Linked DNA regions of Schizosaccharomyces pombe. Each later gene encodes a partner of the first gene's protein in a complex. Each region holds a gene or a part of one and is shown in the gene's direction. Other genes may lie near its edges. The genes, in order: ssl1 and rad15.

Region 1 (4,218 bases):
AGATTAAGAAAGCGTTCGGAAAATGTGCGACTTACACAAGCTAGATATGCGATATTTCATATCTTCCTTCCTTTCATTCTTACTTTATTGCTTTATCATAATTTTTATAATTATTTCGATCAGGCATTGGCGGATCTTAATTCTGTGGTTAAATATGTTATTGAAACTATAGTGTTAATATTTACATACGTGATGACAGTGATTATTGTTTATTGTAAGTTTTTGAGATGATTTGAATTCATGACTAACGATTTTCTAGTTTCATTTTCGTTAATTAAATTAGCGTTTGAAGAAGCTTATGTTTATGCACCGTCTGTAGCTAAAGCGAATGAAGGTCTAGCTAAAGCGATTGCAGGCCTAGCTAAATATGTAGCTAAAGCAATTCAAGGTTTGGCTCATATTATTTTATCCTTACTGTTGTTTATTCTCGGGCTCGAAGTAATAGAACAAGATGAAGAGACTGGCGACGTTGAAATGTCGTCTATGCGAGGCCAAGCAATTACCACAGAGCCAGCAAGTGACAATACAATGGCTGAGGAAACCGATTGCAACACTTCTAAAGATGTAGAATCGGGCAGCAACTAAAAGTCATGGCTAGAGAAAAAAATCAAGGGGCTGCCAACAGTTGCGAGGGTTTTTTTTATTTCATCACTAATTTTCTTACTTTCTTGCAAAAGTCACTTTTCTCCTTTATTTCTATTCCTTGTATTATTATCTTATATGCATCATCACTTAATCATTTTCGATGACAGTCATCACTATTTTTGTCTCTGTTATAGAGCAAACACGATGTGTATTTGTGGTGCTAGGAAAATTCATTTAACTAATGAATCTGTTGTCAATTATAGATTAATCATCCTCTTTATTGTTTTACCAAATTGATATACAATCCTTAATTGTGACTTTGTAAGATTTGCGACTTAAAAAATTGTTCAATTAAGACATTACTCAAAAGATGCAAAGTAGTGATTTAACCTTTTTTTTTGTTGGATATATACGAAATAAGGATTCCATTCATCATTCTCAAGTTTTGGAGTTTTAAAAACCAGTATATACAGCAAATATAAGTTGAAATTTGTTTCTAAGACAAATAAAAACGAAAAAATCGACCTTGGAGTAGAACGAGAACTTCTTAAACAATGCGATTTCGCAATTCCTAGTCAGTAGCCAATTTCTGTTCGAGAAAATCAATTAAATGAACTCTTTCGTCCTGCAAACCATCCAACATTCAGCCTAAGCGAAAAGTAATTATTCTTCTTATGTCCATATCACTTGTAGCTTTACATAAAATATTGGCAATTACGCAGTTTGCAAATTTCTAAGTCTCTACTATATTGCAATATGCAGTTTGTACAAATAACCGAGCCATAAATAATTTTATAAAATACGATATATAACTCATCCTTAAAGAATGAGGAGTACAGATTTATTTTATATTCTTCTTTTACTTTCATAATTTCCTAAGTTTTTTCAAATAACAGAAATAGTTGTATACAAATTTCATATCACAAATCAAAGACTGATAAACACGAATTAACGCAGCATAACGAAATTCATTATTATATTTAACAAATAATGGTTGCGCTCCTTGTCCGTATTGTCTTCGTGTAAATGGTCTCTTGTTCTAGTACTTACTTAGTCTTACCATTTTACTGGTATGCCCAGGAGTCATTGCTTTTTAAAAAAATAAAACTAAAAATAATAAAAGAAAGAACTTTCGCTCATTGCATGTAAAGCAACTCGACGCGACTATTCAAATTACCAAAAGTTCACTGGGTAAAACGTGACTTGAAGAAATACATTCGCTTTGAGTTCTTTAGTCTGTAGAAACCAAGGAATAGAATTTGTGCAATATTCATTTATCTAATTATCAAATAGCGTTCTGGCATAATACCTATGCTCGGTTAAAATAACACTCAATGAATGAGAACCAAAAAAGTTTTGACTCTGACAAGTCGGAAAGCGAGGATGAACAAAAAAATGGAAGAGTTAAAGTAAGAAGCAGGAAAACTGACGATAATGAGGGTTATACTTGGGAAGGTGAATATCAGCGTTCTTGGGATATCGTACAGGAGGACGCAGAGGGTAGTTTAGTAGGCGTTATCGCTGGGCTTATTCAAAGCGGGAAACGTAAAAGGTATGGCGTATCAAAATTGGTTTTCTTATGTTCTTCATTTGTTTGTTAGTTGCCTATGTTGGGCATTTGGAAACATATTAGTCTTTTATAGCATCGATGAACGGTATACTAACTTGTCAATCTGATTTAGACTTCTTAGAGATACAACTCCGTTACAACGAGGTATTATTAGACACATGGTCTTGGTGTTAGATTTGAGCAACTCTATGGAGGAGCGTGATTTTCATCATAAGCGGTTCGACCTTCAGATAAAGTATGCTTCTGAATTTGTTCTTGAGTTTTTTGAACAAAATCCTATTTCCCAATTATCGATTATAGGCGTAATGGATGGAATCGCTCATCGGATAACTGATTTGCATGGGAATCCTCAATCGCATATTCAGAAGCTTAAATCTCTTCGAGATTGTAGTGGAAACTTCTCTCTTCAAAATGCTCTCGAAATGGCTAGAGCTTCTTTATCACACATTGCTTCCCATGGCACTAGAGAAGTCCTTATCATTTTTGGTTCCATCTTATCATCAGACCCTGGCGACATTTTCAAGACGATTGATGCTCTGGTTCATGATTCTATTCGTGTCCGTATCGTTGGTTTGGCTGCTGAAGTCGCCATTTGTAAAGAAATTTGTAATAAAACTAACTCATCTACGAAAAATGCCTACGGCGTAGTCATCAGTGAACAACATTTTCGCGAACTTCTACTCGAAAGCACAATACCTCCTGCTACTGATTCGGCTAAAACCACTGATGCTTCTTTGGTAATGATGGGATTTCCTTCTAAGGTCGTTGAGCAATTGCCAAGTCTTTGTGCTTGCCATTCAATTCCGTCTCGTGGTGGGTTTCATTGTCCTCGTTGTAAAGCAAAAGTTTGTACTTTACCGATCGAATGCCCTAGTTGTTCTCTCGTTCTAATCCTTTCAACACATCTTGCTCGATCTTATCATCATTTGTTTCCATTGAAAAACTGGAGCGAAATTCCTTGGTCCGCAAATCCAAAGTCCACTCATTGCTTTGCGTGTCAGTTACCTTTTCCGAAGCCGCCGGTTTCACCGTTTGACGAATCTACTTCATCGATGCGGTATGCATGTCCCTCGTGTAAAAATCATTTTTGTTTGGATTGCGATGTTTTTGCGCATGAACAACTTCATGAGTGTTATGGATGCCAATGCTCCGGAAATTAAAGTTTCTTTTGGTATATTAATGAACGCATTTATTTATAATAATTATTTTAAAATACTATTATGCTACTTATTCACAAATATGTAAAGAGATATATATTTCAATTTACTTATTTAAAGAGATCGTTGCTTAACTACCTTATCCGGAAGATAGTGAAAATTTGATCTATTGATGCTTCAGTAAGTGTTAGAGCTGTATCATATATAAAATAAAAACTAATTAAAATGTGGAAATGAATATATCCCTATATTTACAGATCAGAGGTCAGTATTGCAGTTGTAGTTGATTACAGAGGAAACCTGTTTTTGAGAATTCCATTTCTCGACTAAATAAGCAACCTTCTGACCGTACTTGCTTCCCCGAAGAGAAACCATGTGCTTTTTTATATGCGTAATGACAAGGTTTTTCTCAGCTGGTTGACCAAGTTGAATTATTTGCTGAATTAAATAGTTGCCATACTGATCAGATGCAATATCGATTAAAGGCTGCCTTGTTCGGTCAACTCTCGCGTTTGTAATTTGTTTTAGATATAAGGAAATGAAATTTTTTGGGCCAGACTTAATTGCTTTTTCAATGACCTTAGAGGCAAATTGGTCAATACTAAATTCCACTGCACGATTCAATAATGCATCAATGACTCTTTTCAAATCCTCTCCTTGTCCGTTTTCTACCATGTGTTGCACCACCCAGTTTCCCCATTGACCACGTGCAATACCGTCTAAATGAAAAATGATTTCCTCAATGCATTCACGCTTATCTTTCTCTACACAGTTCTCAAACATATTTTGGACTACGAGACTTCCATTTTCCCCGACTGCAACTTCGTGCCATTTTCCTCTCAAGGCATTGTTTACGCGATTCATGACATTAACTGGATACTCGTACCATTGCGTTTCAAACAATTT
Region 2 (5,630 bases), on another chromosome or scaffold:
TAAGATATATATGAAGCAAGCAACTTATTTGTAAGCCTAGCTAAATGCTTTATCAATATAAACTCGAGGGAAATATTGGTAGCATAGTATTCCTTTAACTTTTCTTTTTTTTTAAATTAATTTTGATTTCACTTTTTAGTTAACGAAAAGAATTATTTTTTATTTAATAATGGCAAGCGGAGTTGTTTCAATCCAATATATTACATTTACCAGTAAAAAAATTCGATACTTTCCCTCCACCGTGTTAAATTGCTGCATTTTTTTGCATGTTACGGGATGTAAGGAAATAATCTCAAACCAGTCATCCTTACTTTGGTTTCCTACATTTAATGAGCCATGCCATCTATCCTCTATTTCAATACCTTCCTTCCCATTTTTTTCTGCTAAATCGATATGTTGTTTTTTAAATACTCTTTGTTATTAGTACTATATATGCACTATTGATTTTGCTAGCAATGTATTGTATTATTTGTATGTTTTGTAGAAAATAACCTACTCGCCAACCCAAAAATACCAGTTGTTTCCGACAGCGTCATTTATTCATCACACTTTTCCGAAAATCGGCTTTACAAGTCCCGAGTAAAAGTGAATCAAGAAACAGCTACCATGAATTTGATCAACGATTTTGAGTAACCACAGAAAAACTCAGTATGGCCCATTACGGTTGGAATGGGTCGTTGTTATGAATGCCATTTTCTTGTTACCGAGCGGCAAACTCCAACAGTATATTGTTTTGTAGCATCGCTAATGAATGATTCGTTAAGTTTGTTTTCGTGGAATTTCATGCTCTTCTTTTATACCCGAAAGCCGGATACTCGTCGATATACTAGATGTGTAGTGAGTTAATTAATTAGCCAGAAATTAGTGAATGGGAGAGATTTTTAAAATATCAAGATTGATCATTACTAATCATCTTTCATCTTTCACAATACTTGTCATCGATGATTGATAGAGATTGCCAAGAGACATTAGGTAAAATAAAACGTAACAGTTTTGACGATCTGCTGATTTGCTTGATGTCAACCTTGGGTATGTTTTCATTAAACATGATTGCTGATGGGTTTCATAATTCGTGAAAAATTGATAAAGCACTTTTCCTTATCATCTACACATAAGTGAACAGGCAAATCAATCCGTATTGTCTCCTCAACATACGGAATGTCATTAAAACCGGTAAACTGTACTAACCGGTGATTACGGGATAATAAAAAACCACTTCATTCATTTCAAAAACTGTTGATATAGTATTCTGTATGATTTCAAGAAGATAACTCTTCGGTGACTTGCTGTTTATTGCTCACCTGGCGATTCTAATTCCTTTTATTTTTTATCCTGATACGTATGTATTTGTTTTTCCCTCTTTAGAATAATATTCATTAAGCTTGAATAAGCGGTTATTAGTTTGCAAATGATTCAGCAGCTATATGTGAGTTTGCCCTTTTTCACTTGTCTACAGAGTCGGGAATTGACTTGTAAAACAAAATAAATGGAATATTGCAAATGTATTCTTTTTGCCTTGTGTTTATTTAGGAGTAGTATTGCGGAAACTTGTTTTCAGAAAACAAAGTAGCGCTTATGCTCGGTAACTACGAAAATACGAATTTTTTTTCCAATAAACTAGTATTTATTAAGCAATTGCATCTTCCATTAACCATGTCATTTCCATCAATGTATAGTTGTATGTACACCATGTATTTACGAATATTATCCAATTTAACGTACTTTACAGTATTTTGCTTATAAATGTTTACCGTACCAACTCAGCGTTCTTCATAATCCAGTTCTATATGCACTACAAATATAAAGCAGCCACTGTTAATTTCAGGACTCATTCTTTAAGCTTGGATCGACAAGTAGTTTCTCCTGAGATTCTCACTGTAAAGTAGCTCACTTAAACCTTAGGTCAGAATTATTTCTTGGTTCGTTTTGTTTTACCCTCTTCCATCCCATGTTTATTTATTTATCTTTGTGAACTTATTCATATTTGTGTATCAGTGATTGACGACTAAATATTGAACCAAAGCAGAACCTACCTCATTCTTATAATACCCATAAAAATTTATTTCTCGCTTTATTCATTTCATTTTTATGAAGCGATTGTTAAGCGATCTTTACCCACTATTATTCATCAATGCTAGTTCATAATTCTTTTGTTTCAACTTTTTATCTTATTATTTAATTCCTAAATTTTTTTTTGGTCCAATAGGCTGTCATATACTCAAATTAATTTCCTCAAAGTCAACGGATTACACCCATAATGAAGTTCTATATTGACGATCTACCTATTCTGTTTCCTTATCCACGCATCTATCCCGAGCAGTATCAGTATATGTGTGATTTGAAACATTCTTTGGATGCGGGAGGCATTGCGCTCTTAGAAATGCCTTCGGGTACTGGAAAGACCATTTCTCTTTTGTCCCTTATTGTTTCATATCAACAACATTATCCTGAGCATCGCAAGCTCATCTATTGTTCACGTACCATGTCGGAAATTGATAAAGCATTAGCTGAATTGAAGCGTTTAATGGCGTATCGGACTTCACAGTTAGGATATGAAGAACCATTTTTGGGTCTCGGACTAACCAGTCGCAAAAATTTATGTTTACACCCTTCTGTTCGTCGTGAAAAAAATGGGAATGTGGTAGATGCCCGTTGTCGCTCACTTACGGCGGGTTTTGTGCGGGAGCAAAGATTGGCTGGTATGGATGTTCCTACTTGTGAGTTCCACGACAATTTGGAAGATCTTGAGCCACACAGCCTTATATCTAACGGTGTTTGGACCCTTGATGATATCACAGAATACGGCGAAAAAACTACACGATGCCCCTATTTTACTGTACGTCGTATGCTACCGTTTTGTAATGTTATTATTTATTCGTATCATTATTTACTAGACCCCAAAATTGCTGAACGAGTTTCTCGAGAACTCAGTAAAGATTGCATTGTTGTTTTTGATGAAGCACACAATATTGACAATGTGTGTATTGAGTCTTTAAGTATTGATTTGACAGAATCTTCTTTGAGAAAAGCTTCGAAGAGCATTTTGTCTCTTGAGCAAAAAGTCAACGAAGTAAAACAGTCTGACTCAAAAAAACTTCAGGATGAATACCAAAAGCTTGTTCGGGGCCTTCAAGATGCTAATGCCGCAAATGACGAAGACCAGTTTATGGCGAATCCCGTTTTGCCTGAGGATGTTTTAAAGGAAGCTGTTCCTGGAAATATTCGACGAGCCGAACATTTTATTGCATTTTTGAAGCGTTTTGTAGAATATTTAAAAACAAGGATGAAAGTTTTGCACGTTATTGCTGAAACACCAACTTCTTTTTTGCAACATGTTAAAGACATTACATTTATAGACAAAAAGCCGCTTCGGTTTTGCGCTGAGCGACTCACTAGTCTTGTTCGTGCCTTACAAATTTCACTAGTTGAAGATTTTCATTCTTTGCAGCAAGTAGTAGCTTTTGCGACCCTTGTTGCTACTTATGAGCGTGGATTTATCCTAATTTTGGAACCCTTTGAAACAGAAAATGCTACAGTTCCCAATCCAATATTGCGGTTTTCCTGTCTTGACGCCTCAATAGCTATTAAACCAGTTTTCGAAAGATTTAGGTCTGTGATTATCACGAGTGGTACTTTATCCCCCCTCGATATGTACCCCAAGATGTTGCAGTTTAATACTGTTATGCAGGAATCGTATGGAATGTCACTTGCACGAAACTGTTTCCTTCCTATGGTAGTTACTCGGGGTAGCGATCAAGTAGCTATTTCTTCAAAATTTGAAGCCCGTAATGATCCTAGTGTTGTTCGCAATTACGGTAATATACTGGTTGAGTTTTCGAAAATTACACCTGATGGCTTAGTCGCATTTTTTCCAAGTTATCTCTACCTTGAAAGTATTGTTTCTAGTTGGCAAAGTATGGGTATTCTAGATGAAGTCTGGAAGTATAAGTTGATTTTGGTGGAAACACCAGATCCTCATGAAACAACTCTCGCCTTAGAGACTTACCGGGCTGCTTGCAGCAATGGCCGTGGAGCAGTATTGCTGTCAGTCGCTAGAGGAAAAGTCTCAGAAGGAGTGGATTTTGATCATCATTATGGTAGAGCAGTAATCATGTTTGGTATTCCGTATCAGTATACTGAGAGTCGTGTTTTAAAAGCACGGTTAGAATTTCTGAGGGATACGTATCAAATTCGGGAAGCAGATTTCTTAACATTTGATGCCATGCGGCATGCTGCCCAATGTTTAGGTCGCGTTTTGCGTGGAAAAGATGATCATGGAATTATGGTGTTAGCAGATAAACGATATGGTCGGTCTGATAAGCGTACAAAATTACCTAAATGGATTCAACAGTATATAACCGAAGGCGCTACAAATTTAAGCACTGATATGTCCCTCGCTTTGGCGAAAAAATTTTTACGAACTATGGCACAGCCTTTCACTGCGTCTGATCAGGAAGGGATTTCTTGGTGGAGTCTTGATGATTTGTTGATTCATCAGAAGAAAGCATTGAAGTCTGCGGCTATAGAACAATCCAAACATGAGGATGAGATGGATATTGATGTGGTTGAAACTTAATAGAAGCCATTTGTAAAATACTTTGATTCTAATCATCTTTACTAAGGCAATCCAAAACTCATGAACACAGCGATGAAGATATTTGGAAGCGAATGGCTAACTTTTTTGTAGGTGTGGACAATGTATGTATCAACTTGTATTCGAGAGTTGTATAGTGGACATTTCAATCGTCATCACGATACGCATGCTACTTACGAATTGTTTTAAGATCGCAGAGCAGAGAAAAAATATTATTTACACTCAGTTGGCAATTAATTTGCGAGTCGCTAAATTCGAAGTACTTTAAAATTTTTTTAGAGACTGTGTTCAAATAAAATCGGTTTCAGTTGTTGTAATGCTTCTTAAATTTTCCATCCCATCAATAACAATCCAGCGTTTCAAAGAGTGATTATTGGCAATTTCATGCTGCTATGGAAATTAAGCTTACATTAAGCGAGCTAGTTAAAATACGTGATGCAGTAATTGTAAGCCTAGTTATATAAACAAAACATCTGTTTATCATTTAGATACATAAAACAAAAGTTTACATATTCATAATATATTCTCATAATCTAAAAAATTTCCTTGATAGTTTTATGTCGATAAAATTAGTCTCCCATACTTAGTTCTAAATAAATGAACGTTTTGGGGTTGTACAACTGATTCATTGCTGTATTCTATGTAATATATAAATTTCTTGAAAATAAAAAATCTTTTGGTTTTACGGATTCACGGTTGGCTTATACGTAATTGCCAAGCACATATAAGATCAATGATGGTTTCTTTACCAAACTACTGTATAAAAAAATTACTCTAGCACAAAAAGGATACCGCTTTCAGGAATTCTTAAATATAGAAAAAAAAATAAGTGTAGCTTATTGCAAGGGTTGTCTCTAGTCACGTTGGGGTAGTCAGAATCCTGTCATAACTACTGCTTTGTATCTTTGATTAGCAAAGTAACTTATTGAATACAGTCAGCTGTCAAATTACAGAAAAAGAAGCAACTTTAATAGTATCTTAAATGATATAATCTTCGATACAGGTTTCTTTGAGAATTTGGCCAATAGCTAGAAAT

Evidence for each region.
Region 2: ssl1 (region 1) and rad15 share a complex: the UniProt entries of both Schizosaccharomyces pombe proteins name them as parts of the 7-subunit TFIIH core complex.

The regions. Positions count from the first base shown.
Region 1 is NC_003421.2:382,554-386,771, forward strand, and holds ssl1 (transcription factor TFIIH complex subunit Ssl1), read left to right. Parts: upstream 1-1,637; 5' UTR 1,638-1,919; coding exon 1,920-2,137; exon of another isoform or gene 2,138-2,267; coding exon 2,268-3,315; 3' UTR 3,316-3,494; downstream 3,495-4,218. Other genes in the region: SPOM_SPCC1682.06 (uncharacterized protein), read left to right, coding at 1-214, 260-585; meiotic pumilio family RNA-binding protein Mpf2, read right to left, coding at 3,571-4,218. UniProt on the Schizosaccharomyces pombe protein: Component of the general transcription and DNA repair factor IIH (TFIIH) core complex, which is involved in general and transcription-coupled nucleotide excision repair (NER) of damaged DNA and, when complexed to TFIIK, in RNA transcription by RNA polymerase II.
Region 2 is NC_003424.3:662,525-668,154, forward strand, and holds rad15 (transcription factor TFIIH complex subunit Rad15 ), read left to right. Parts: upstream 1-1,823; 5' UTR 1,824-2,257; coding exon 2,258-4,576; 3' UTR 4,577-5,123; downstream 5,124-5,630. Other genes in the region: MAP kinase kinase Byr1, read left to right, coding at 5,629-5,630. UniProt on the Schizosaccharomyces pombe protein: ATP-dependent 5'-3' DNA helicase, component of the general transcription and DNA repair factor IIH (TFIIH) core complex, which is involved in general and transcription-coupled nucleotide excision repair (NER) of damaged DNA and, when complexed to TFIIK, in RNA transcription by RNA polymerase II.